Cricetulus griseus: one gene and its partners. The protein of the gene in region 1 interacts with the protein of each later gene in a pairwise test. Links are inferred from orthologs where the notes say so. Each region holds a gene or a part of one and is shown in the gene's direction. Other genes may lie near its edges. The genes, in order: Prkab2, Grn, Stx19, Spry2, Psmd11, Rhebl1 and Tasor2.

The links.
Region 2: the proteins of Prkab2 (region 1) and Grn interact in binary tests that used the Homo sapiens proteins (3 or more experiments, as listed by UniProt). The link is inferred for Cricetulus griseus from reciprocal best matches to the Homo sapiens genes PRKAB2 and GRN.
Region 3: the proteins of Prkab2 (region 1) and Stx19 interact in binary tests that used the Homo sapiens proteins (3 or more experiments, as listed by UniProt). The link is inferred for Cricetulus griseus from reciprocal best matches to the Homo sapiens genes PRKAB2 and STX19.
Region 4: the proteins of Prkab2 (region 1) and Spry2 interact in binary tests that used the Homo sapiens proteins (3 or more experiments, as listed by UniProt). The link is inferred for Cricetulus griseus from reciprocal best matches to the Homo sapiens genes PRKAB2 and SPRY2.
Region 5: the proteins of Prkab2 (region 1) and Psmd11 interact in binary tests that used the Homo sapiens proteins (3 or more experiments, as listed by UniProt). The link is inferred for Cricetulus griseus from reciprocal best matches to the Homo sapiens genes PRKAB2 and PSMD11.
Region 6: the proteins of Prkab2 (region 1) and Rhebl1 interact in binary tests that used the Homo sapiens proteins (3 or more experiments, as listed by UniProt). The link is inferred for Cricetulus griseus from reciprocal best matches to the Homo sapiens genes PRKAB2 and RHEBL1.
Region 7: the proteins of Prkab2 (region 1) and Tasor2 interact in binary tests that used the Homo sapiens proteins (3 or more experiments, as listed by UniProt). The link is inferred for Cricetulus griseus from reciprocal best matches to the Homo sapiens genes PRKAB2 and TASOR2.

What each region holds. Positions count from the first base shown.
Region 1 is NW_023276806.1:58,819,651-58,823,943, reverse strand, and holds the start of Prkab2 (5'-AMP-activated protein kinase subunit beta-2), read left to right. Parts: upstream 1-1,493; 5' UTR 1,494-1,646; intron 1,647-1,841; exon of another isoform or gene 1,842-1,864; 5' UTR 1,865-1,889; coding exon 1,890-2,042; intron 2,043-4,293. UniProt on the Homo sapiens protein: Non-catalytic subunit of AMP-activated protein kinase (AMPK), an energy sensor protein kinase that plays a key role in regulating cellular energy metabolism.
Region 2 is NC_048600.1:115,672,851-115,676,879, reverse strand, and holds the start of Grn (progranulin), read left to right. Parts: upstream 1-1,229; 5' UTR 1,230-1,302; coding exon 1,303-1,334; intron 1,335-3,740; coding exon 3,741-3,885; intron 3,886-3,995; coding exon 3,996-4,029. UniProt on the Homo sapiens protein: Secreted protein that acts as a key regulator of lysosomal function and as a growth factor involved in inflammation, wound healing and cell proliferation. Regulates protein trafficking to lysosomes, and also the activity of lysosomal enzymes.
Region 3 is NC_048597.1:30,361,549-30,364,264, reverse strand, and holds Stx19 (syntaxin-19), read left to right. Parts: upstream 1-1,300; 5' UTR 1,301-1,308; coding exon 1,309-2,187; 3' UTR 2,188-2,216; downstream 2,217-2,716. UniProt on the Homo sapiens protein: Plays a role in endosomal trafficking of the epidermal growth factor receptor (EGFR).
Region 4 is NW_023276807.1:257,384,644-257,388,821, reverse strand, and holds the start of Spry2 (protein sprouty homolog 2), read left to right. Parts: upstream 1-1,378; 5' UTR 1,379-1,801; intron 1,802-4,178.
Region 5 is NC_048600.1:93,879,536-93,883,493, forward strand, and holds the start of Psmd11 (26S proteasome non-ATPase regulatory subunit 11), read left to right. Parts: upstream 1-1,158; 5' UTR 1,159-1,226; coding exon 1,227-1,317; intron 1,318-3,675; coding exon 3,676-3,777; intron 3,778-3,958.
Region 6 is NC_048595.1:395,350,090-395,354,113, reverse strand, and holds the start of Rhebl1 (GTPase RhebL1), read left to right. Parts: upstream 1-1,224; 5' UTR 1,225-1,439; coding exon 1,440-1,491; intron 1,492-2,000; coding exon 2,001-2,138; intron 2,139-2,723; coding exon 2,724-2,791; intron 2,792-3,053; coding exon 3,054-3,136; intron 3,137-3,224; coding exon 3,225-3,281; intron 3,282-3,532; coding exon 3,533-3,580; coding exon of another isoform or gene 3,581-3,614; intron 3,615-4,024.
Region 7 is NC_048596.1:228,642,776-228,646,275, reverse strand, and holds part of Tasor2 (protein TASOR 2), read left to right. Parts: intron 1-1,387; coding exon 1,388-1,569; intron 1,570-2,002; coding exon 2,003-2,117; coding exon of another isoform or gene 2,118-2,121; exon of another isoform or gene 2,122-2,279; coding exon 2,280-2,283; 3' UTR 2,284-3,500.

The sequences.
Region 1 (4,293 bases):
GCTATTCTATGAGCGTCCTATACACAAGGATAAAGACATGAAGAAAAACTTAACAGAAGTTCTACATGGTATCTCCCCCCCCGCCCCGTATTGGGGAGGCTAAGAAGTGCATCTCTGTGGAAATGGGCATCTGATGGAGATGGATTAATGCCTCCTGCGGCGGGGATTCCCTTTCCTGGCATCTGATGGAGATGGAGATGGATTAATGCTTTTGAAAGAGGAAAGAAATGAGAGTTAGGAAGGCAGATCTCCAACCATCTCTGCCATCTCACTTTTCAGTTGCATGACTTAAACATTTTTTTTCAGTTTTATCTATAAATGGGTGTTTTGCCTGCATGTTTGCATGTGCATCAAAAGATGTCAGATCAGCCGGAACAGATGGTTATGAGCCATCATGTCAGGGCTGGGGACCAAACTTGGGTCTTCGGAAAGAACGAGTGCTCTTAACCACTCAACCATCTCTCCAGGCCCTTCTTTGATTTTCTTACTCTGATGACTTTATGGTCTACCTAGCCTCACCAACCTACACCCTTGATCTTGTCCAAGATACTGCCAGTGCTGATAACTCCAAGGCCTCTGAAATCTCAGTGGCAGGCATCCTACTCTCCAAAACCACTTACTTAATCATCTTCTCCGCTCACTCCGATACCCTCATGCCCATCAATCTTAGACTCCATTGGGCCCGCCATCAGCCTGCTTTGCCTTCACTTTCTAGTCTACTGGTTTCCAGTCGCTGGTCCAACGGTATATTCCCAGCCCACCATGCGCTCCCAACTCCTCTGTTGCCTCCTTGGCCAAACTTCATCTTGAGCTGAATGCATGCTCCCACACAGCTAATCACAGTAAGAGAAAACACCACTATGGTGAACTGGGCACCACATATAAGTAAGCCTTCTGCAGTACTTGCCAGGCACACTTCATGCGTCTAGTCAATTCTCTCTTCCACCCTTCATTTCATTGCTTCCTGGGACAATGAAAACGAGGTCGCTCGGTAGAGCTGTAAGCGGCATAATGAAAACCATTCGAATGTGGAACCGCTCCCTACCGCTGTCAAGCAGTTTGATGGGATCTTGTTAAAGTGCAGATTCTAATTCTGTACCCAGAGCAGGAGACCTCGGATTTGGCTTCTCTGACGAGTCCGTGTCCCATGGCTGGACGGATTACTTAGGAAGACATGACTCCGAAAGCGTATAGACTTCCATCCAGATACTAGCGCCCGCCACGCGAGAGCCTGGCCCCCAACCCGGACCCTGACCCCCCTCGCCCCGCCCGCCCCACCCGCGCCCCGCCCACCGCCGCCCCGCCCCCCCGCCGCCGCCCGCCGCGCCCGCCCCGCCCCAAACTGGAGGCAGGCACGCACGCATTCACCACAGAGACGGCGGCCGGCGACGGTGGCTAGAGCGGCAGGCGACTAGGACTGGGGAGGGGGCGGGGCTGGCACGCAGGGGGCGGGACAAAGAGGTTTTGTGGGCGGGGCCATGGACAGAGGCGGGTCCGCGCCGCGGGCCTTGTAGCCATTTTAGGAGGAAACCACCCGTGCCGCTGGCTTGGGGCGCGGCTTCAATTTCAATAACTTTATTGGTCTCTCTGTGCGCCCAACAGCCGGCGTGCGCGTGGCCCCGCGATCCCGGAGCGCATCGCCCGAGGTGAGCGGCGCGAGGGTGTGCGGCGCCGGGGCCGCGGGGTAGAGGTGACTCCCGGGCGGGTTCCCCAGCCGGAGGCGTCCCCGAAGTGGACCAGGGAGGGGACCCCGGGCGCGGCCTCCTGCGGCGGGGATTCCCTTTCCCGGGCGCAGGGGCGGGGCCGGGACGCCCCTGACGCGGCCGCGGGGGTGTTCCCAGCCCGGTGTCGTTCCCCGCGGCAGGTTGCCCCCGACTCGAGCTGCAGCCATGGGAAACACCACCAGCGAGCGGGTGTCCGGGGAGCGCCACGGTGCCAAGGCTGCGCGAGCCGAGGGCGGCGGCCATGGCCCGGGCAAGGAGCACAAGATCATGGTGGGGAGCACCGACGACCCCAGCGTCTTCAACCTGCCCGACTCCAAGGTGAGTCCACGGGGCTGCCGGCTGCTTCTCCCTTCTTGGTTCTTCCTCCTCACTCCCAAGGGTTACGGGTTCATTTTATTTTATGACTTTAGAGGGCTTTCCCGCGGACAGGGATGTTGAGTACGAATGCCTCCTAGGTGCTGCCTCAAATGAGGATAGAGGCGTGGAGTTGTTTTCCTGCCCTTCTGACTGATCTGCGGGCCATACTTTCAGGACCGGTACCAGAGACACGTCCCCTGCCCGCCCCATCCTTGGTTCTGCACCACATCTTGCCTTCTTGTGGTGGAGCTTGCAGGATGTATAGGTGGTGAGCGAGCTTGGAAACTTAAGAGGTTGCCTTGTTTGAGCTGCTGCTTCGGGCTCCGTTTCTCACATTGGCCTCGAGATATTTAAATGTATTTCTTTTCCCTGAAAATGCCTTTGTGTAGATATCACCTTTGCTCTCAGGGGCCCTGCGTCCCCTTTTTGATCCTCGTCCCCGTTTGCGTGACTCTCAGCAGTTATCACTTGGTTACTTGAATACTTTCGCCTAGTCTTGGTGATCAGAACAGTGCATCATTTGGATAATGGCTTCAGGTTTGTTTGGTTGGTTTTTTTTATAAACGTGGCGATTGTGACTGTGCTTTTTGCACACCTGGCTGTGCCTTGTGGGAGAGCAAGTTACTTCCCTTCACTCCACTATAGTGCTTCGAAATGTTCAAAATGTTGCCTGAGGCTCAAAACCACCCACAACTGCCCGAAGACTTTGCCACCAATGCCAGAGACTTCCAGCCAAAGGCCCATTTTTGTTCACCCAAAAGAAGAGGCAGATGGAGCCGACAGCAGTATGATTGCTACCCTAATGTTCCTAATCACTTTTAGAAATGTCAGCATTAAAAACATTTAATTTCTCAAGTAGGCTGTCAGGAGTGAAAAAGAAAAACCAGAGGGTTGGAGATGATTGGGATATACTTGGCGCCTGTCACTTTATCCCTTCCCACTGCACTGAGGCTTAGGATAGTGAATAGAGTTTTATTTACCTCTTTGACAGCATGTGGAATTTGGATTATATGGCTTGTTTTCTTGAGTCCTGATTGAGGACTCCGTTAGGGAAGTAAGAGATGTTGAGCTGTGCGTTTCTTGGGGTTCCCTCTTTGTCCCCACTTTAGGACTTCTTCCTCGTCGTTGGGGCTCTGTGCTCAGCCTGGATTTTGTTCTCCAAAGCTTACCCAGGGTGACAGGCCGTGTATTTTTGCTCATTCCTACATGGATGACTCAGGATTTGGGTACATTCAAACTGTGACTGCAGTAATTGGTGTCCTGAATAGGAGCCAGCTTGCTCTGTGTGAATTCAGGCCTGTTTTGGAACATTCTTTCCCTCACATCTTGCCGTTTGTGAAATGAGAAAAGTAGTTCCAACAACCCCCCCCCCAGTCTCATGAAGATTAAAAACTTTATAGTTCACATGTCCTCCCCCCACTGATTTTTTTTCCTTAATCATCTTCAGACTGTAATTTGAATTGCCGATTTGCTGCTGTTGCTGGTGGTTCAACTCCAGTAAACAGTCTTGCTGCGTTCCCTGCTACCACAGAAATGTCATGTCATAAGTGGAAGGGCTTTGCTCCAAAGCCAGGTGTATTAATAGTGTAGAGCTTTCAAATCCTGAACTGAAAATCCTCCGTCATAAAAGTAACTGATAGAGACAGTGGGGTGGGTGGGGGGCATCTTTGCTCTAAAGGTCAGGCTTTTTAGTAGACTCACTAGGGTTCTCCATCCCTTTTGAACATTAGGATCCCTAAGATTGTTTTTAAAACCTTATGGGAAATCTGACACATTTATAAACTAGAACAGTACAATGAACTGTGTGTATGTCACCCGGTTGAAATGGTGCTGAAAGGTCACGAATGAGTGGCTTTCTGTGCTCCAAGCCATTGTCCCACCCACTACTCTGAAACAGATGCCAACAAATAGTATTTCTAACATTTTAGGGTATACCTAAAAAGGTGATTGTTCTTTAAAGCTGATACAGTAGTGGCTCACTCCTGTAATTGCAGCTGTTCAGAGACTGAGGCAGGAGGGTCACTGCCAATCCGGAGTGAGAATTTGACCCCCCTAGGAAAAAACAAAACACGTTTTCCCTGTTTATTGTAATATAAGTACAGTATAATTATCTGATAGCTTTAAAAAAAATATGTTCTCAGGTTCTGTTTGGGAATTAGAATCTGAGGGTTGTTCTTAGGCATTGGTAAACATGCCTAATGCAGCCATCAAC
Region 2 (4,029 bases), on another chromosome or scaffold:
CACAGGAGACCCTGACTCAGAGAGCTGCAAGGATACTGGGGCTGTGTTAAGCAATTACAGAATTGCAGAATTACCCTAGATACTCCACGTTGGCCTCCACTTTCTGGGATTCCTGTAGCTCTAGCCCAAGAAGCCCACCAGGCTCCTCTCTATGCAAGACTCTTACTGTCCTGGATTTATTCGTAGGGCTGTCCCCATTCCCCTGAGTGGCCTACCAGTCAAGCTCTTTGCTCCTCCCAGGGGACCTATCTTCCACACCAACTCTGCCTTTCCTACAAGGCCCAGCCTTGGGCTTTCCTGGGGCCTGTCCTCTTCCTGGCAGGTCTCCAATCAGCCATTTCTGTCTGGCCCAGGCCCTTTGGCACTCAGCAGCCTGGCTTTTGTTTCTGGCTAATCTGTTCTACTGCTAAAAATCTCTATTCATGGACCATGACAATTCCTCGAAGGTAGGGGTAGCTGAAACTAGGAGGCCTCTTGCACCTCCACAGCCACCAGCCTGCTTCACCAGCCCATGCCACATACTTAGCTCATGCCCAATGCCCTTACTTTGAATGTGGCTTTTAACTCTTGCTAGACACTGTACTCCCCATCTGCTTTCCTAACCTCTTCCGGAGTGCCTCTGTCCCGCCTAACCAGCCCCTTAAAATTCCTCTAGATTCAGTTCAGCGTGATACCATCTCCTGGCTAGCTCAAAGTGGATTTACATCTATTCTTCCCCTACCTTCAGCCAATCTCCTGCCTGGTACTCGCCCTTGAACATTTATTAGATTTAGTATCCCACCCAAATCTGGGGACTGTTTATCTTTACCCTCCCAACTATCTTTCAGCTTGTTTGGAGTCCTGGCTGCCTAGCGTGAAAACAGTGAATGTACAAATGTCCCGATCCAGAAGCCGACGCTATGCTGTAAACGACCTTGAACGCGCGCCCCGCAGGCGCCTTCTTAACTGTCGGTGGCCTTAGGTACGCAAGCCCCATCTCTAGAACACCTCGCCAGGCGCCGCCAGGGCCCTGGGGGGTGGGAGGAAAGCAACCGAACAAGCAAGCGAGGCCCTGGGGGAGGCGGGCTATGGTGTCATATGATTGCCTGGTCACATGATTCCTAGACATGGGGTGTGGGGAGAGAGAGGAAAGGGAGGAGGAGTGTGGATTGAGTAGAAAAGAAACACAGCATTCCTGGAGAGTCCCGCCTCTATGTAGACAAGTAGCCAATGGAAGCCCCGGATTCCCGACCCAGGGCTAATGGAAACTGAGGTGGGCGGGCCATCGGGCAGCCAAGCCCTAGTCCGAGAGCTGACAGCCAGATGCCTCCCAGGGAGTGCGGACCCCGAAGCAGGTAGGAGGACCCGCAGCAGACATCTCCCTGGCTGCTGTCCAGAGGCCTGGCCAGGCTTGCTGTGCAACTGAGGCTGCCCCGGAGCCTCAGCTCAGAGACGAGAGAAGTCCTGCCTCTTGAAACTCCCCTCGGGGTTTCAGATGCACTAACGAGGGTTTGTCATTTGGGAGGAGTGGGAACAGTTGCTGTAGACACCCCCAACAAGAGGCTCCCCTGCCCAGCATGTCGGAAAGCTGCAGGGCTTTCTCCAGAGCAGGAAGCGCCCCACTCTTGGGCCAGCTTCATCTCTCTCGGTGCCTCCCACCTCTTGTCTCCAGGTCCCGGCACTTTCTCATTCTGGTGCCGCCAGTAGTCTTCGCGGCGACTTGCAGTGGGTGGGGATCTCCCGCCCTTGGTCCCAGAGCTCAGAGGAGTTGGGAGCAGGAGTTGGGCGTGGTGGCAGAATCCCTGGGTTGTGTCAGCCGTACTTCCTTTATGGGGGGCGAGAGAGCTAACTTCCGCCTCTCCCCGCCACTTTTCCCTGCTCCTCTGCTGGATTGGCTCACCTTTTGGGAAATTCATCTCCCCTTGACACTCCGGAGTCGGGGGTGCCACCTAGTGGAAGATCTCGAAGCTAGGGCCTTGAAAGGCTCCTCCAGTCCTCTCAGGCTATTTCAACAGAGTGGTGTAGAGGTGGCCAGAGGTCACCACTCCCTAACCCTAATGAAAGGGATTAGGTCTCCCCTACCCCATTCTAATCTGGCCAGGAGATGACCTCTGGGATATTCTTTGAGAGGGTGCTTGAAAACCTAGAGAAGGAAGGGGAGGGGGCACAATGAGGGACAGATCCTCTATGTAGCCCAGGCTGACCTCATAGTCACCCTGTAGCCTGGAATTTGTAATCCTCCCACCTTAGCCTCCCAAGTGCAGGGATCAAAAGCATGTTTGTCATGCCTATCGGAAGCTTTGAGGTCTGGATGTTGGGATTTTGCCTTCCATGGCCACCAGTATTCAGAGTTTGAGGCACAGGAAACAATTTCTGAGGCCCTCAGCAATTGATCAGTGGCAGATTTTACACCGTCCCTGTACCCACCCTTTCTTTTGTAGATTTTTTTGTTTTGCTTTTGTTTTTGAGCAGGATCTTTTTGTCCCTGGCTGTCCTGGAACTTGCTATGTAGACCAGACTGGCCTTGAACTCACAGAGATCCACCTGCCTCTGCTTCTGGATGCTAGGATTAAAGGCGTGTGCCACCACCGTCTGGCTGTACCCACCCTATTTCTATCCTGTGTAGGTCACCTGCCTGGGAAATGTTCTGCCCGCTTCCCTCTGCTTGGACCTCTGGCCTCTGGGATTTGGGGTCCATTCCCTGGCAATGTTCAGGGATGTCAGTTGACATAAGAATCCAGGTCCAATATCTGCAGTCTGTTTTCTCTGACTTGATACCTGGGCATGGATTTGAAAAGTGAAAGTAATCTGATCACTGCTTTGCATAGTTGTGCAGAGAAATACAGTAAGGAAGGGCAAAGTGGCTCCCTGGAGGGTCTTTGAATATTGCTGTTTTTGCTGCCCCAGGCAGGGGAGTGTCACTCTGGGTTGCTGGGTAGGCCAGCTGTGCTGGGGAAAGACTTATTAGGGAAGTGAGAGACTCGGTTCCTCCTGCTAAGGCAGAGGGCCAGTGAAGAAGTACACTTAACTTTGCTCTTGCAGCTGAGTTTCGATTTCTGAGTAGGGAGAAACAGGTGGTATGTTTGAGGAGTCCAAAGGAGTCCTGGTGATGCTGAGGAGGGCTGGTTATGAAATTAGCTTCAAGGCTAATCCAGCCACCATGTGCCCTTCCCCTGGGTGGGGAGGGGACAGTTGTGGGCAGGCAGTGGCTGGCCTGTGGGAAAGGCAGCCCAGACTCCCCTGGCCACTGCACTTCCGTTTTCACAACTTTCTCAACCCCTGGTTTCCCATATGATCATGTGATTGACAACTCTGTTTCCCCAAGGCCTTTGAAAAGTACATGTGGGAGTTCAGTGCCAGGCAGCGAGGTGAGGCTGGCTGTCCTCTTGTGGCCGCTGAAGTCTCCTCCCAGTTAGCCCACAGTCCCATAAATCAAAGCCACATGGCTTCCTGACTGTCATAACTCCGCGCCTCTCCAGTCGCCTATAGTGTCAGGTGTTAGGCCAAGTGTGATGACATGATGGACACTTGTGTTCATGCCAGCATTCGTGCTCACCGTGTGTGCAAGCTGGTGCAAGTGTGATGCTTACAGTGTAGGATGCTGACTCAGGCAGCTGCTTGCCTTCCTGCTCACTTGTTGAGAAGTTTCAATAAATCCAAGGCATGTCATGCCTTGGCCAGGGCATGGGGAACTGCATGGACTCAGAATAGAAGGTGGCATAAGCTTAAGATGGCTGCCAAACTTTCCTTGGCATTTGCAGGCAGACCATGTGGACCCTGGTAAGCTGGCTGGCCTTCATGGCAGGCCTGGTGGCTGGAACACAGTGTCCAGATGGTCAGTCGTGCCCTATTGTCTGCTGCCTGGACCCCGGAGGAGCCAGCTACAGCTGCTGCAACCCTATTCTGGTGAGTGTCTCACGCCCCAGCTGGCATCCTGGCCTTTTGAAGGGTTACCTTGGATTGGCCAGAAGAGGTCTGGCACAGATCCTCTGGTATATGTCATTGCTTCTTTCCAGGACACATTGCCTATGGTAATGAGCGATCGTCTAA
Region 3 (2,716 bases), on another chromosome or scaffold:
AAAGGGATTAAGTGCCTTTCTATACTCAAGGATTAAGAAAATAGTGGTTTATTAAAAATAATAGCTTTTACTTATTTCACTGTATGTATGTGTGTGTCACTGCCTTATCATTATATATAATCATATGTAACTTATTTCAATTTGATTTGATGCTATGGACAATTAGGAGCACTAGGTGAAAATGAAAATATCAGTATTCTCAGTTAAGGTTATATATAATCATGTTCTCAAGTATCTAAAGATTATCATGATATGAATTTCTATACATTTTGCCCTAGGAGCCAAGATCCTTGGAAATAACTGTCAAGAATGAGAAGTCAGCATAATCAACTCAATAATTTTCATATATGCAATAGCTAAGAAAACAAGGCTATATAAAATATGCCAATTCAAAAAGCTCATTATATATTGCTTAAAATCCACATAGAATTTATTCTGTCATTATGTGAGTTTTAATTGAATTATGCATATTCAGAAAAATGATTATATATGTGTATATTTTTATGTGGAAGAGTGTTTGCCTGAATGTATGTATGTGTATCACATACATACCTGGTCCCCACAGGAATGAGAAAAGGGCATCAGATCTCCTGAAACTGGAATTACATATGGTTGTTGCACTGCCACGTGTGTGCTGGGAAAGGAGCCCTGGACTTTTGCAAAAGCAGCATGTGCTCTCAACTGCTGAACCATCTCTCCAGTACCAGAAAAATGTCTATTTTAAACAGGGCATAGACTAAACTCAATGGGAAAGGCATCTTTAATAATGATATTTTTAGGAAGCTAAAAGCCAATCCTAAAAGTCAAAGTACAGTCAAAGCTTTTGTAATGGAAAGTCGTACTGTGGACAGTATAATGGCATGGATGAACTTACTTGTAGGCAACTATACCTTCCCCATTGCCTTCTCAGTGACTATACTCAAATAAATGAGATATGTGGCAGGAGCAACCATTCAAAGTAATTCCTAAATTTTCTTGTATTACTTTCTCTATTTTGATAATATCTATGAGGAAATTATTTTTTATTCTCCTTCTTTTCTTTTTTAGTTATTACTATGTAGTTCAGGTTGGCCTCAAATTCCACATGTAGCCTAGGATAGCATCGAATTTGCCAGACTCTTTCTTGCCTTAGTCTCCCTGCAGGGATTATAGGCAAGAGCCATCGTGCCTTGTTCATATTCCTCAATTTTTAAAATTTCTGTTAGAAAACTAGAATTTTTGCTAAGAGACACATAGCTAATGGAGAAAAATGGCAACTTTGTCCTTTGTTCCATTTCATTATTTTTGCTTCTTAGGAGGGAAGGGAAGATGAAAGACCGACTTCAAGAATTAAAACAGAAAACCAAGGAAATCGAACTCTCTCGGGACAGTCAGGTGTTTGCAGAAGCAGACGACCAAGGTGTGCTTGTCCAGCAAGCTGTTATTTATGAGAGAGAGCCTGTAGCTGAGAGACACCTACATGAGATCCAAAAACTGCAGGAGACTATTAACAGCTTTGCTGATGATGTTCAAAAGTTTGGACAGCAACAGAAGAGCCTGGTGGCTTCCATGAGAAGGTTTAGCCTACTTAAACGAGACTCGACCATTGCAAAGGAGATAAAAATCCAAGCAGAACAGATTCACAGAGCACTGGGTGATTTGGTTAAAGAAGTAAAAAAGTCAGAGGTTGAAAATGGTCCGTCATCAGTGGTCACAAGGATACTGAAGTCTCAGTATGCCGCAATGTTCCACCACTTTCAGCAAACTATGTTTCTCTACAACGACACAATCGCTTCAAAGCAGGAGAAATGCAAGACATTCATTGTCCGCCAGCTTGAAGTGGCTGGAAAGGAAGTGTCTGAAGAGGAAGTGAATGACATGCTTCATCATGGGAAATGGGAAGTTTTCAACGAAAGCTTACTCACGGAGACCAGCATCACGAAAGCACAGCTCTCGGAGATTGAACAAAGACACAAAGAGCTTGTGAATCTGGAGACCCAAGTGAAGGACCTCCGGGACCTCTTCATTCAGATCTCTCTTCTGGTAGAGGAGCAAGGAGAAAGCCTCAACAACATTGAGGTAATGGTGACCAGCACAAAAGATTATGTCATCAATACCAAAGAGAAATTTGGACTCGCTGTAAAATACAAAAGAAGAAACCCCTGCAGGGTCCTGTGCTGTTGCTGTCCATGCTGTGGTTCCAAATAAAGAAACTGCTCAGGGTTTAGGGGTGAGGTTTCCACATTGCAGAATCTTGTTTGGGTTGTCTTCATTTCACGAGTCCAGTTACATACATCTTAACACTGCTAACCGGTCACTTTTCCCTTTAACATTTACCCACTAATGTTACAGAAATGCTGAAGCCGGTGACACAAGACAAGCATTTACCTAAGATGTACAGGTTAACTATTAAAAGTGACAGTGAAAGACCTTATGTTTCTGGAAAAATATTGAGTTCTCCTGTGCATTTCTGTATTCTTGTGATGAATATTCAACTAAGTGATAGTTACTTTATTAATCTGGCTCATTTGAGAATATTTTGGTAATTGAGAGTTGGATAAAACAAGGTCCCAAAATGCACCAAAATGCACAGTGCACCAAAATGAAGCTAAAAGGCCTATTAAGTCTTTATCCTTGGTTGGTAAGTAAACCTGGTGATAACTAGGATCTGGGAAAACTCAATTGCAAACTTGATGAAGAATCTAACTGGTGACAGTAAAGCTTGAGACCTAAGGTG
Region 4 (4,178 bases), on another chromosome or scaffold:
GAGGAACTTCTGTGAGAATGTTCTGGGTGACAAACAGTGGGACTTGAAAGATGACTCTCCTTTTATTTACGGTTTCGCGAAGGAGGGATTCAATTTGCAGGGGAACAGCGTGCGCCCCCCCCCCCATTTCGGAAGTCCATGATGTCGCCCTGAGTAATCGCGTGGGTATTACTGAATTAATTTAAAAAGCTTCTGAGTCGAGCAAAAACAATGCCCAAAAAAGTCTTCAAAAGGCCTCCATCTATAGATAATCCCTCTTAAAAATGAAATTCTAACAAACTACACGTCCACACAATCAAAAGCCAATCCCAGCCAGAGCAGAAGGGACTTGAAACCCGAATCTGCATTCCGTTCCTGCCGTACAAGGCTCGGAGGTGGGGGAGGCGGTTTGTGCTGGTGCCCGGTGTATAATCGGGTTAATCCAGTAGACAAAGAATAAACCAATAGCCCTCCCACCTCACTTCCCGCTCCCCTTTCCCTCCCTCTCCCGCTCCCCCCACCCTCTTCGCCCCCCTGGGCATTGGAGGGGGTGGGGCGGGCGAAGGAGGCGAAGAGGTAGATCCGAAATGGATTCCCGAATCGAATCTTTTAAAAAGCCGCAAGTGGCTTTTCACGCTCGCACCGTGCGGCCGGGTTAGTTTTTGCAACGTCCCCTCTGGTCTCCGGGCGGCGAGGGAGAAAGTTCCCTAAGTGAGCCTGGCCTCCGGCTGGTGCTCGTGGCCTCCGGGGGTGGGCGAGCGAGCGAGCGGGCGGGGCGGGGGGGGGGGGAGCCTTAAGGTCAGTGTTTCCTTGAAACTAGATAAACTGACCTCGCGGTGGCCGCAGCGGCCCCGCGTGACGGCGCCCGGGCTGCAGGAGCGACTGGGGACGCGCGGGGCGGCGCGGTTGCCCTTTTGAATGCCTCCTGCGGCTCGGAGCGCTGGCGGGCGCTGGAGTGTGAGTGAATGTAGCCCCGCCGAGCCAATGAGCTGGGACCGGATGCGATATATCCTCTGGGACAACAACTGCTCTGTTCCGCCTCGGATCCACATGACGCCATTTACTGCTGCCGCGGCCGCTGCAGAGCTCCCTGCCTCCTCCGGAAAGGCGAGGGCGCAGGCCAGCGGCTCGCCCCCCCAGGCCCCAGCCCCAGCCCCAGCCCGGCCCGGCCCCGGCCCCGGCCCGGCCGGGCCCAGACCCTCCTCCCCCACCATCTCCTCCCCTGCGCACCCCGCCCCCGCCTCGGCCTCGCCGCCGCGCCTCCGCAACGCCCAGTCTGCACGAGCCAGAGCTGCGCGCCGCAGTGCGAGCGGAGGGGGCCGGCGGAGCGCGCAGCGCCCAGGCCCCGCGCGCGCCCGCCCGGCCCGGCCCGCGGCCCCGCGCCAGCCTCCGCTCCGAAGCAGCCCCGGGCCCCCAGGACTGGGCGAGCTGGCCTTAGGTTCTTTGTAAGGCCGTGTTCGCCTCTCTTTCTCTCATCGGCCAGGAAAAAAGAGACTTCGCCAACCACGGCGCTTCGGCTTCTTGTTCATTGAGAAAAAAAAAAAAAAGAAAGAAAAAAAAGAGGAAATACTCCGTGCGCTTCTGGAAGGGAGGTCATCTCTCTCTCTCTCTCTAGCCCGGAATCCGAGAGGGTTCCAACGGTGGAGGATTGGGTTCCAAATTTTCCCCTGGTTGTTTTTCTCCTGCCACCGATTACTTGGAAGTTGGACTGAAGCAGAGTTCGGAAAGAAGGAAAAAGTTTGCATCGGGACTGGATTTACTTTGCACATCGCAGAAAGAAGAGAGTCCAAGGGAGAGGGGTTGGTGCAAAGCCGCGATCACGGTGAGGAGCGTTTGGCTTTTTCCCTGCTGGAACCACAGTCCGCCGCGAGTGGGGTACGGGTTCCTCTTTCCCCTAAACCCGTAGGCTTCCAGGGAGGATCGGGAGCTGCCCCGCGGATCTGCTTCGCCTAGGACAGGGGTTCAGTCACCGCCGGGCTGCAGGGTGCGCCGGTGCAGTGTCCCCACTCCGCGACACCGCGCTCCCTAAGGGCTTTGGGGAGGAGGACCGCTCCACTGCGTTCTGCTCCTACCCTGCTTTGGAGGCGGTTTAGTCGCCGAGATCCCTGCTTTTCCTGATCGCTGTTGCAGGCTCGTTTACGCTGCTAACCTGTTCCTCCTTTCGGTGGAAGGCCAAGTTCTGGGGAAGCCGATCCTGCGGCGGGGGGCGCCTGTGGGGCTGGGGTACTGGGCTTCTCATCTCACCACCGCACCGGAGCAGAAGACTCGGCGGACAAGCCGAGGGTAGGCTGCCAGGCGGAGGGAGTCCCCGCCTCTGCCCGGTGTGGACAGTCTAGCCCGGTGCGGGTGGGAGCGTCGCCCAGCCTGGCGCCGCGTCTCTGCGGTTCGGAAGTGCGGCTTTCTCTTTTTTCCGTTCTTCGTGGTCGGCCTGGGTCATGCTTTTTTTTTCTTTTTTCTTTTTCTTTTTTTGATGCTTGGGCTGACCTAGCACAGGAAGAGAGTTATTAAGTGGTCGCGATCGTTTTCCATTACCTGAAAGTAGGTGGCAAAAAAAACTAGTTTCCCCCCTCCCTCTTTTGTGTTACTGTTTTTGAGATTTGGAGTCTTAACGCCTTTTTTACAAAGGGGTTTCTGTGTCGGTTTGCCCCACCCTAGTGCTGAAGTCCTTTCCCCCTAATCCTTAGTCTGATCACACACTGTTCTTAATGGGGGTTTCAAAGCACTCAGAGGGGGAGGGAGAGGAACTGCGAGAGCGCAGGGGGTGGAGGCGGCCCGCGAAGGAGGCCGCCAGGGATCGGCAGAAATCACTTTTTTTTTTTTTCTTCCAAAAGATGCTACTTTTCACGGGCAGTCTTCACGGGAAGTTCCCGATCTCAGGGGTCGGAGGCCTGCACGCCTGGCGTGTCCAGTGGGGCTCTAGATAAAGCTTTTTCTTTTTTTTTTTTTTCGTTTTAAGAAATAAATCTTTTTTCTTGGTCTAAAAGGAGGTAGGCGTGTGCAGATTGCAGGCGGTGCTCTCTTCGGTCATTGCACGCTGGCTGGAGTCTCTCTGGGAGCGTGGGTACATAGACTTCTGTGCAAGCTGTGCGTCCCGACCCGGCTCTCTTCCTCGGGGCGTCGGATTTGGGAACTTGTGGGGACAAGCGTTTTGAGGGCCTTCGCAGAAACACCTTGTGGTGACCTTGCTGCGGGGGTGGGCGTGTTGGAGTGGCACCCCCTCTTGGGGCTGGGTGGCAGTTCTCTTGGGTTGGGGGAAATTTTAGCTGAGGGGGTGCGGAGGAGGGGGAAGTGTGCTCGTGCATTTCACGACACGTCCCCTTCGGAGGCGCCCGCGCCCCCTGCCTGCCTGAGCTTCAGGGGATTGCTCGCAGGAGGGGCCGGGCTGGCCCTAGACAGCGTCAGTCCGCCTGGAGGAGAAAAGTCCCCGGGGTTCTGGCTGAGTCCCACCTGCTGCGGACTGTGTGGGGGCGCAGATAGAGCCGATAAACCCAGTGAAAGCAAAGAACAGCCTTGTGTACCTTGCTGTTGGAGGTGAGCAGATCCGGTTTCCAGCTCTGTCTAGTTCTGAATTAGGAGGCGTTTGTCACCTGCCTTGTTCGCTGCCCTTTTCCAAAAAGCCAAGGTTGGATTAAAAGTCCGCTTTTGCTTATTTTCTTTGGTATTTTTATGAGGGCCTGGGAGAGGGGTGGTACTTTTTAAACCGAAGAATGACTGTAATTTAAGCGATCCCTTGACGAAATGATAGGTTTCAACCGTGACACTTAGGATTTTTAAAACCTTTCCTATTGCTGTTACTTGCTTTTGTGTTTCTGGGTATTTTTCAAAACGAGAAGATAACATCATTTTTGCATGCTTTATTAAACAGGGAGAATGACTTGGGATTGAGGATATAAGGCTAGACTCATAGGTCTGTGGAATATTTAATTCTCGAGTAGTGGAAAATACGTTTTGGTCTTACGAGTTTGTTTTCACGTGATAGCTGATGGGAATCGAAATGACTTCAATTCTGTAACTTTGTACCACTGTACTTACTTAAAAATGCAGCCTTAATTGTTCTCAGAATGTACTTTTATATCATATGGGACTGGCAAAAGATACTGATTACACAACTCTCGGTGCTGACTTAAACCGAAGCTGTTGTAGGCATTTGTTGGTGTTTAGTGTAAAAAGGATCCTGACAAATTTAAACCTGTTACAAA
Region 5 (3,958 bases), on another chromosome or scaffold:
TAATGCAGTCACAGAGGAGTGCAATGTTGGTTCTATTTTTCCTTCCTTTTTCCTTCTTCCTTCTTTCTTCCTCCCTCCCTCCCTCCCTTCCTTCCTCCCTCCCTCCACCCTCCCTCCTTCCCTCCCTCCTTCCTTCCTTTCTTCTTGGTTTTTCAAGACAGGGTTTCTCTGTGTAGCTTTGCAGCCTATCCTGGCACTCGCTCTGGAGACCAGGTTGGCCTCCAACTCTCAGAGATTTACCTGCCTCTGCCTCCTGGAGTGCTGGGGTTAAAGGTGTGCACTGCCCGCCCAGCTACAGTTTCTTTTATATTATAGCACAGCTATTTCATGTCTGGATTGTCATCACCTAAAATGTCTCTCTATGTATTGTTTTAGCAACATTCTTAGGTTAAACCTTGGTGGTCACATAAAGTGTTCCCCCCCAATCTCCCCCCGGCCCCTTTCCTTGTAATCCTCATAGATATTTGGTTACAGTAGAAGGAATTAGAGATATGGGAGGAAACAATTGTTCTATTGTTGATCTGGGAAGCTGGGGTGAGTCATCTGTGTGAAGAATCTCAAGAACTATTTAGGTTGAAAGAATGGGTCAAGGAGATTTTCACTTCATTAATGTGAAGCTCTGTCGAAGATGCAGTGGTTATTTGGGAAAGGTGGTGGACTGTGGCACTGGTGATTTTGCTAGCACTTGGAAGGGTGTGTGTGTGTGTGTGTGTGTGTGTGTGTGTGTGTGTGTGTGCGTGTGTGTGTGTGCGCGCGCGTGTCCTTTCTGCAAGACATATGAGTGGATCCAAACGGGTGTGTGTGTGTGTGTGCATGTGTCCTTTCTGCAAGACATATGAGTGGATCCAAACGGTCCTATTTCCTGCCATACAACATACAATTTGGAAGGTATTCTTTCTCTTTGAATGACTAGTCTAACGTGGATACTATAAAGATAGCCAAGTAGTTTCTCTTTAACACCTAGTCTCTTTTGGGGAGGTGGGGGACTAAGTTCGGTCTTGTCTCGTCAGAGCTGGCCGCAAGATGGTGTCGGAGAGCTCGCATGCCACTGGCGGGAAGCTCTTGATTCACCCGCCCTGTAGACAGAGAGAGAGACAGACTACAACTCCCGGGGTGCTCTGGGAAGGGAGGCGGAGTCCCCGGGGGGAGGAACGCGAGGGCGGGCCTTCCGGGTGTGTGTTTCCGGCGTCGGCGGCCGCGGCCGGGGACGGTGTGAGAGCGGTAAGATGGCGGCCGCAGCGGTGGTGGAGTTCCAGAGAGCCCAGTCTCTACTCAGCACCGACCGGGAGGCCTCCATCGACATCCTCCACTCCATCGGTAAAGGTTCTCGCGCCCTCCCCGCGGCCCCGCCGTCCCGGCGCCGCCTGTGTGGGTCGGAGGCGGCGGAGAGGGGCCGGGCTAGCCGGCTGTGGTGCTGCTGACTCACTGTGTGTGAGGGGGGCCGGGCCGGGGGCGCAGGCCGCTCGGGGCCCCCGGGAGCCCCGTGGCTTCCAGGCGGGCGGGAAGCCCCGAGCCAGCCCGCGCATCCACCTGCTGGCTGCTGACTCACGGTGGGCGCAGGGCAGCGTGGAGAGAGGGCCGGGCCGGGTTCGCTACCCCTCAGGGTCCCGGGTGGTGGCCCGCGCGAGCTGGCCCGCGGCTGGGAGCCACTGCTGGTTACAGACCGGTCCCAGAGTGTGCTCTTGAGAGGCCCGGGCGACAGCCGCCCAGGACGGGCATTTCCCGCCGTTGTTATCAGCACAGGTTGCTCCGGGTGGGAGCGCGAGCGCTTCTCTTGGAGTTTTCTTCCACGGGACGCTGCGAGCTGCTGCTTACCCCCAGCCCTCCGCAGCCGGCTCCAGCAAAAAGAGGGCCACTTCTGGGTGTGGGAAGTTGAGGGCATGTGCTGGAGGTGGCCAGGACAGTCCTCTGTCCGGTGTAGCCTGTGAGGAGGCGAAGTGTCGGGGTGGGACCGCCGGGACACAGGAGGTGACTAATTCTCCCCAGTAGGGTTGAAGTTTGAGTTCAGAGTTAGTTGTCTGTTGTTCAGTGAACTCTTTGCATCCGGCCGGCTGCACGTTGTTGGAGGAAAAAAAAAAAAAAAGAAAACTTTTAACATCATAGTGTGATTGTCTTAAACCTAAGAGCAACAGTAAAGTTAAAATAGGAGCCCTCGGCCGGTCTCTTTCTTCTGGGATTCAGGTGTGAAGAGAAATAAATGGATAATGGCAGAAAAGGCTTTTAAATATTCAGTCCTCAAGGGTTCAGTTAGGGCATGAGCTGCTTCTTGTGATAATGTGGTCTTTTAAATGTAGCCTGGCAAAATTCGGATGGGATCAACAAGTAGTTAGTGACTGCAGGTGTGTGAAGGACTTCCAGGGTGTCGGTTGATTTGCTCAGCCTGTTGAGTTTCAGTTGTGAAGACTTGCATAGAGAAAGGACAGTGACAAGGGCTTGTGTCTTTATCTTTTGGGGTGCTAGAAAAGGAGAGGAGATGGTGATCACACGCATTTTGAAGGGATAATGCTGATCAAGGGCATTTCCAACTTCTGATCCTAAGTGAGTTTTCGAAAAGGGTACCCAAGCCATCCGATTGCTGTTACATAGGTATTTTTCTGTGAATACACGTTAATATTTAGAACTAATCTGAGGAGCATGAGGTTTAATTTTTTTGTACCCAGTGCTTGATTTGTTTGCCTTTCCGAAAGTAGAGATTGCTGATAAACATTACCATTAGAGCTTTTTTGTTTTGTTTTGTTTTGTTTTTTTGTTGCTCACTACACTAAAGGACAGTCCCCTGCAAGCTTCCCTGTTAGAGCAAGCTTGAGTCATGATGGGTGACAGCCTTACTTTTTCTAGATTCCATCATGAAGTATCAAAACCTTGGTTTTGTCAAGTCATGATTTGTAAGTTTGTTAAGACCAGTGGTAACTAGTGATGATCACCAAAATAAGCAGTACAAACTTTGGAGAGGTTCTTTGAGGTTCAGATGGTTGAATAATTATTAACAGTTGAAAGTGGGACAGACAGAAAGTGACTTTAACAGGACCTGGTCCATTATGAGCAGCAGTCTCTCCTAAGTGTAGCTAGCTGTTCAGCATCACACCGGAGCTTTGATAGGGATTTGTCTAGAGTGGCTTTATAGAATTGTTTATTCCTAATACATCCGTTAGCTGAAGCTTTCTATAGACTTAAAAGTTTATAGAAAGACTTGGTTTATAGTCATCAATAACTTTATAATTTGATTTTAGTTTGTGATAGGTAAATGCACAGGCTTTTTTTTTTTTTTTTAGTGTCTTCATATAACATACTGTCTAGCATGGGGCTCATCACCATAATTGGGAAGGACTTTATCTATCTATCTATCTATCTATCTATCTATCTATCTATCTATCTATCTATTTATTTTTGCTTTAGTTTTTACTTTTTGTTTTTTGAGACAGGGTTTCTCTGTAGCTATGGAGGCTGTCCTGGCACTCAGTCTGTAGACCATGCTGGCCTTGAACTCACAGAGATCCACCTGTCTCTGCCTCCTGAATGCTGGGATTAAAGGCATGCGCCACCACCACCCAACTGTTTGGTAGTTTTATTTGGGAAATAGGCAAGAGTTCATAATGAGTTATCTTGTAAGGGTGAATTTTCCCCTTGCTTCATTTTTTTAAATCACAATTTTAAGAGTTCATTTTCTTTTCTCAGTGAAACGTGACATTCAAGAAAATGATGAGGAGGCAGTCCAGGTCAAAGAGCAGAGCATCCTTGAACTGGGGTCTCTCCTGGCGAAGACTGGACAAGCTGCTGGTAAGTCTTGCAAATGATTGTACCTATGATGCTTTTGTCTGAAGCACCAGATGGAGTTTCTCTTAGAACACTGGACTGCACCTAACACCCAGTTCATTTGTGGTATTATTCAGTTTTATTTTCCTGACAATTTGTTGTTATTTAATTTTGTAACAGAAAAGTGTAGAATTGTATTCTACAG
Region 6 (4,024 bases), on another chromosome or scaffold:
CTCATGCATGCCATTGTCACAACTCCAAATTCTATGAATAAATTTAAATGCCAGGGAAACAGAGACCTTGTATGTCATGCTTATCTCTTTCAGCAAACCTGGGTCAGTGTCTGAACATGCTCAATAGACTTTCTTTTTCTTTTTTTTAAGACAAGGTCTCTTGGGCTCAAACTCACTATGTAGCTGAGGCCATAATGAGTTTGAACTCCTGACCTTCCTGTCTTCACCTCTTAAATCCTGCAATTATAGGCCTAGGCCAGGAAGCCTGGGTTTTTTGTTTTTTGACAAGGTCTTGGGTGGCTTGATCATTGTTTAGCCCAGGCTGGTCTTGAACTGACAGCATTCTCCTGCCTCAACTCTCAAGTTCACAGATCAAAAAATATTTGTTGAGCCGTATGGTTGTGGCCCCAAACCTTTAATCCCAGCACTCTGGAGCTAGAGGCCAGTGGATCTCTGTGAGTTTGAAGCCAGCCTGGTCTACAAAGCAAGTTCCAGGACAGCCAGGGCTGTTACACAGAGAAACCCTATCTTGAAGAAAAGAAAAACAAAGGCCTAGAATCCTTCCCCCTTTTTTTTTTTCACCGCCCCAGACAAGGTTTCTTTGTTTACCTCTGGCTGTTCTGGAACTCACTCTGTAGACCAGGATAGCCTCAAGAGATGCGCCTGCCTCTGCCTCCTGAGTGCTGGGATTAAAAACTGCCATCACTGCTGACTTCAGAGGCCTAGCATCTTTTCAACAAAACCTCCGGCCCAAAGCTACTTTGTAGTGTTGCATGCTTTAATTCAGTATTAGGTAAGTAGAGGCAAGTGGACCTCTTTGAGTTTTGAGCCAGCATGGTCTACATAGAGAGTTGTAGTCCAGTCAGGGTTACAAGGTGAGACCTTGTCTTAAAAACACAAAACCAAAAACCAATACCAGCCAACCACAGCAGGTATTTTCCTTTTCGTTTTGTATTTTCACAACAGCTGTTTTTCCATCTAAGATTCACAGCTTTTTTGGCTAGGCTGCACATGGAAAAGTACCTCTAGGACCCCGAGCACCTTTTTCTTTATGAATGAACCGGCTCAGGTCTACGCATGTGCAGCTCCCAAAATTCCCGCTCCACGTGAGCCCACTGGTCCCTCCTTGTGGGCGACTCCGCCCGCCCTCATTCTAATTGACCAATGGGGAGCAGCCTGGGGGCGGGGCCGGGAGCCGCCCAGCCGCGTATTCCGCCCCTCCCCCGCCCCTGGCGCCCGGCTCCCTTGCGTAGAGCCGCAGTGTTGTGATCACGTGGGCTGCCCCGGGCGCGCGGCTTGTTTTGATTTCCTTTCCCTTCACCCGGCTTATCTTTGGTGAGCCGCGGTCCTTCCCGGGGTCCCCTGCCGCCTGCACTCCAGCTAGTGTTCGGGCTCTCTTGGTCCGCGCTCCTAGGAGCCCCTCGGAGCGGCGTCCTGTCATGCCTCTGGTGCGCTACAGGAAGGTGGCCATCCTGGGGTACCGCTCGGTAGGTGAGTCTCCGCCCTCCCGAGAGCACCAGCGGTGGCAGCACCGTTGCTTTGTGTCCAGAAGAGGCGCGCTGTCGCGGGAATGTGACTAGAGGAGCCAATGTGGACGGGGAAGAAGTCGTGTGGAGGGATGCTGGAAAAGGAGCACTCAAGGGTTAAAGTGGACCGGGCTGTGGTTGCATCAGTGGTCCCTGAGTTACTCTGGGAACAGGGGTGGGATCAGCATTTGAAGGCGTGGTGGAGGTCTGCGCGAGGCAGACACTTGCAAGTGTCCTTGGGCTGGTGCACTAGATCCTAGGGAGTCCTGGATCTTCCAAAGGGTGAGGTGGGGTGGGGTGGGGCAGGGAAAGGCTTCCTATGGCAGTGCTGAATGCATCCCAGGAGCCAAACTGCTGCGGAGTCAACGCGTAAGGATGTTCGTAGTAGTAGTCCAAGGGGAAGCATTGCTTGGAGCTGGGGGTCTTTCACTGAATGGGAAGCTGATTTGGGATGCGTTTTGGTCCTGGCCACAGTCCGAAAGGACAAACGGTGTGAATGTAGGTGGATGATTATATTACAACAATCTCTGGTCCTTAAAGGGAAGACATCTTTGGCCCATCAATTTGTGGAAGGCGAGTTCCTGGAAGGCTACGATCCTACAGTGGAGAATAGTGAGTAATGTTCTTTAGTGTGAAGGAGATGGAACCTAGATAGACTGGGTACCCTCTCCAATTACATAATTTGATATTTCTTTGTTACCAAGGGGCTGATTTATTTATGTGTTAATCATATCAGTTCTGGGAATCCTGTTCTGTGAGTGTCTAGGGCAGTGGTTCTCAGCCTTCCTAATGCTGTGACCCTTTAGCATTTAACTGCAGTTCCTCATGTTCCCCCACCATAAAATTATTTCATGGCTACTTCATAACTGTAATTTTGCTACTGTTATGAGTTGTAATGCAGGATATATGATATGCAGGATATATGATATTTGACCCTCCAAAAGGTTGTGAGCCACAGGTTGAGAACTGATGGTCTAGAGAGTAGAATTTGTAAGATTTTAGTCCAGGATAGTATAGAATCTTTACTATACTAAAGATGAGGACAGCAAGAACCCTAGCATAACTCTCCAGATCCTGGAAAGTTCCCTGGAACTAGTCTGTCTCTGTTACTCCCAGGGTCAGGAATGTAAAGGAATACACATCACTGGTCCTACAAAGCACCTCACAGTCAAGAAGTTTTCCTCTTTGTTTTTCCAGCTTACAGCAAGACAGTGACTCTTGGCAAAGATGAGTTTCATCTACATCTAGTGGACACAGCAGGGCAGGTACCAATTGGGGTAGGGTGTCCAAATGTTGCAGTTCCCCCTGTATAAAGTCTTGTGGTCTGTGTGTTTCATGTGTGATGTAGTATGAAAAGAAAAGTATTTTAGCTATTAACAGTGTACAAGGCTCATTGGAGCTACTTTATAAATACTTGTTGAATGGGAGCAAGGAATGTCTCTGAGAGGGTCACCTGTATGTTATCCCAACAGCTTGTGCCATTTGAATGGTGTGGCTCTTAATACTCATGTTTCTGTTTCTTGTCAGGATGAGTACAGCATTCTGCCCTATTCGTTCATCATTGGGGTCCATGGTTACGTGCTTGTATATTCTGTCACCTCTCTGCATAGGTGTGTGACTAAGATTTTGAGTGGGGCTTGGAGGACTCAACAATAATCCTAGAACTGAGATTAAAGCTCTATCTCTTATGTTTTGAAGCTTCCAAATCATTAAGAGCCTGTACCAAAAGCTACATGAAGGCCATGGTAAAACTCGGTAAGTGGCCCCAGGAAATAGAATGTGGGAATGAAGGTGTGGAGGAAAGCAATCATGGGGATTCTTCCAGGAGGCTGGCCATGGATCATGCCTGGCTTGTTTGGGGAATCATCTAGCCTTGCTGTAGTTAGACTAGTTGGGGTCCATAGAGATTGGGGAAAGGACTCTTTTTTTTTATTATTAATTTATTTTTTACATTCCAGGAAAAGGGTTCTTATAATCATACAATAGTAACTGCTGTTTCATCACAGGCTACCTGTGGTGCTTGTGGGGAACAAGGCAGATCTCTCTCCAGACAGGTGTGTAAACCCCTGTTGCTCATGGCAAAGGAAAGTAAGTTGTACTAGGGATCAGTCAAGCTGTAGTCCTGCCTGCCTCTGTTTGAGACAGGATCTTCACCATGTAGTCCAGGCTGTCCTTTTAAGTCCCTGTCCTCTTGCCTTTCTAGCAGTGCCAGCGGAGATTGTAGGGGTGGGTCACTATGTCTAGCCATTTTCCCTCTTTTCATCATTACCTTGATGGTTACTTAAGAATAACTCTAACATAAAGCCATAATTCCTATTTCAAGCTTCAGTCTTACATTTACCCATCATGCTTTTGTTTACATGTATTTTTTTCTCACCTCACCCTCATCAAACCTTGGGGGAGGGGTGTGAAGCATCAAGAGGAAATTAAATCTTAAAGAATTTTCAGACAAAAAAAAAAAAAAAAAAGAATTTTCAGACAGCTTGCAGGCATTGTTT
Region 7 (3,500 bases), on another chromosome or scaffold:
GGTTAGCTTTGGGTTTTTTTGTTTTTGTTTTTTTTTTTAATAGTAGGGCATTCGGTGAAAGATGTATTTACAGCAACATTTTGAGCCAGGCTTAAAAACATCCACAGTTAAGTCAGGCTCTGCTGCCATATGCAGAAATATGGTAAAGTGTGAGCTTCCCTTTTTTGATACTCATATTTTGAGTTGCCAGGGTATTGGATTTAAATAGCAGACAAGTCACCTTAAATCTAAAGCAGTGATTGTTTTAATTCATTAATTTTTTTGCAGCCCAGTCAGTTTCCCTTCCCTCCTCTCCTCCCATTTCCTCCCCTCTCAACATTCTCCCCCTCCTTTTTCTTCAGAAAAGTGCAGGCCTCCCATGTATATCAACCAGCCATGCATATTAAGTTAAAGCAGTGATTCGTGTATGTGGAATATGTATGTATTTATGCAGTTTGCACACTTGTGTGGAGGAGCCTGGCAATCTATGTCAAGTGTCTTCTATCACTGTCCACCTTATTTTTTTTTTTTTAAGATTTTATTTATTTATTATGTGTACAATATCTGCACACCAGAAGAGGGCACCAGATCTCATAACGGATGGTTGAGAGCCACCATGTGATTGCTGGGAATTGAACTCAGGACCCTTGGAAGAGCAGTTGGTGCTCTTAACCTCTGAGCCATCTCTCCAGCCCCCCAGCTTATTTTTTAAGAGAAGGTCTCACTGAATCTGGAACTCATCAATTGGACTAGGCCAGTTGGTTGGCCAGTGAGCTTGTCCTCATCCCCAGTGCTGGCCTTACAGATGTGTGCCACCACACCTGGCTTTTTATATAGATGCTGGGGGTCTAAACTAAAGTCCTCATGCTTACCCAGCAGGTACTTTACTGACTGTACCACGTCCACAGCAGTGGAATTTTTTGTTGTTGTTGCTTGCTCATTTATTTATTTATTTACTTATTTATTTATTTATTTATTTATTTATTTATTTTTGGGTTTTTCAAGACAGGGTTTCTCTGTGTTGCTTTGGAAGTTGTCCTGGAACTCGCTCTGTAGACCAGGCTATTCTCGAACTTACAGAGATCCGCCTGCCTCTGCCTCCTGAGTGCTGGAATTAAAGGCGTGCACCACCACTGCCCAGCTTGACCAAGTGTTTTAACAACAAATTAAAATGAAAGTCAAGAGAGCTAGAGAGATGGCTTGGTACTTAAGAGATGACCCAAGTTCAGTTCCCAGCACCTATATTAGGTGGCTTACAATTGCCTCTATAGATCCAGGGGATCAGACACCCTCTTCTGGACTCTTAGGGCACCTGCACTAACATGCACTTTCTTTCACATAGATAATTTAAAATCTTTCTTTTTAATGAAAGCAAGAAAAGCTACTAACATTTCTTTCTATTTTCCAGGGTAGATTCAATTGCACATAAAAAGAACTTAATTCTGAAATCATATCAGAGTGTAAATATCATTGAATTGCTTCATTATCACAACTGTGACTCTCCATCACCAACAAAAGCTGAAAATTTGAAATGCTTGCTAAACCTGCAAGTTCAACATATCAGTGCCAGGTTTGCTGTCTTCCTAACAGGTAAATTTAATCTTCATTAATGCTAAAATAGGACAGCTCTAGAAATACCGTTCTTAAGTAGTTACTGAATTCCTTAGATATATGTGGCTTTTATCCATAGCTGGTAGGTAGTGCAGCATGTGTTTTGACAGTCCTGAGGATGCTTGCCAAGGAGTAATGAGTTTCTCTAGTTAATAGTCTTCTAATTAATATTACCAGATCCTACAAGTACATTTTTCTACTTTTCCCAAATTTTCTGTGAGCCTTAGCTGGGCTGCCTGGTTACTGAAGCTAGTACTGTTGTCCATTACTGTCCCTTCCCTCCCTCATGCTGCTTCCATGTGTCTTAGTTTTTCTTCTCATTCTAATGAATTCTGCTACCTTGGAAAAAAAAAAAAAAATGGGAAATGCTAGCTAACTGACAAGTTTGTTTTTTTTTCTTTTTTCTTCATAGACAAGCCTACAGTATCCACAGAAGTCTTTGAAAATAATGGAATTCTTGTTACAAATGTAAACTACTTCACTGAAAATATACAAAAGATAGCAGCTCCATTTAGGAGTAGCTATTGGTAAGAACATTTTGTAAAACTCCCGTGTAAGCTGGAATTACTGGCAGCAGACACTACCACCGAGGGAAAGAAAACTGTTCAAAGACTACTCTTTAGATTCAAATGGAATACACTTTGGTTATATTTCTTGGTTATTTCTGTCTTAATTTTGTGTTCCTACAGGTAATTAAGCTACATTTGGAGTTGAAACTAGAAATGGAGGACACCAACAATATATTAGTATTTTCCTGTGTCTGAAAAACTTCAGATACACACAATCAATCCTTATCTAAAAAATCCATGTTTCATTTTCATACTTTGTTAGAATGTCATATTTCATCATGGACCATAGATGCCAATAGCTCTGGGTTCCAATGTTTATTTTACTTCTAAACATAATGCCTTCAAAACCATTAAGCTTACTATTAAAATTGAGACCGTCACATGTTTATGTAGCTGAAGTAAAAGTATTTTAACAAATAGCTGTTTCTGTGTGTGGTCAGAGGCTTATGAAGTGCATGTTTCGGGGTTTTACAGCATTGTAAAAAAGTATAATCTGTAGTGGTTTTGTTTGTTGTTGCATAAGAAACACTACAAAGAAACATTTTTCCGTAAATGACAAATTTATACACTTTTCCACTTACTAGGGTTTTTTTTTTTTATGCTGCACTACAAAAATCAACCTGGGGAAGAAATTATTTATGATAATTAGAACTTTCTTAAGTCTTTAAAAATACATACACTCAAAAAAACATTTGTATACTGTCTATTTGGAACAAAGGCTTTTATACCTAGTTTGGGGTTGGGTTTTTTTTTTTTAATAAAGACAATTAAAATGCAGTTGTTTGTGCTGTGATTCAGTCTGTGTGCAAAGCCACTCACCAGGATGCTTTTAATAAGAATCCCACTACAATGAGCCTTGTAACTATAGTAAAATGTATAAAGCCAGAAATGGCTCCCATCCAAATCTATTAGGTTAGCTCTCCTGAAGGCAGTACGGCAGTTGTGTTGTCTTCACAAGCAGAACATGGGCAGACAATATAGAGGACAGTGCTTTCCAGAGTTTGGCTTTATTTTGCAGTACAGAAATCATTTGGAGCCATTTTGAGACAGACATCATTGAAATCAAGGCTCTGTCAAATCAATACTGCATTGCAGCTTGGTCCATTGAAGAAGCCATACCTGGGATAAAAGGTGCTTCTATAATTTCTACCTGCTTACCATATGGTTCCTTTCCCCTTCTCAGCAATTGTAATAGGTTAAAATACCAATACTGGCTTCCTCCAAACAACTCCCTAAGTCTAAAATTTGGCTAGAAGTTTACACCCACATAAACAAAATATGTGGCTGCTATTTGAGCCCTGCTTTAATACTTGACATAACAAAATAGAGAAAACTTTGAAT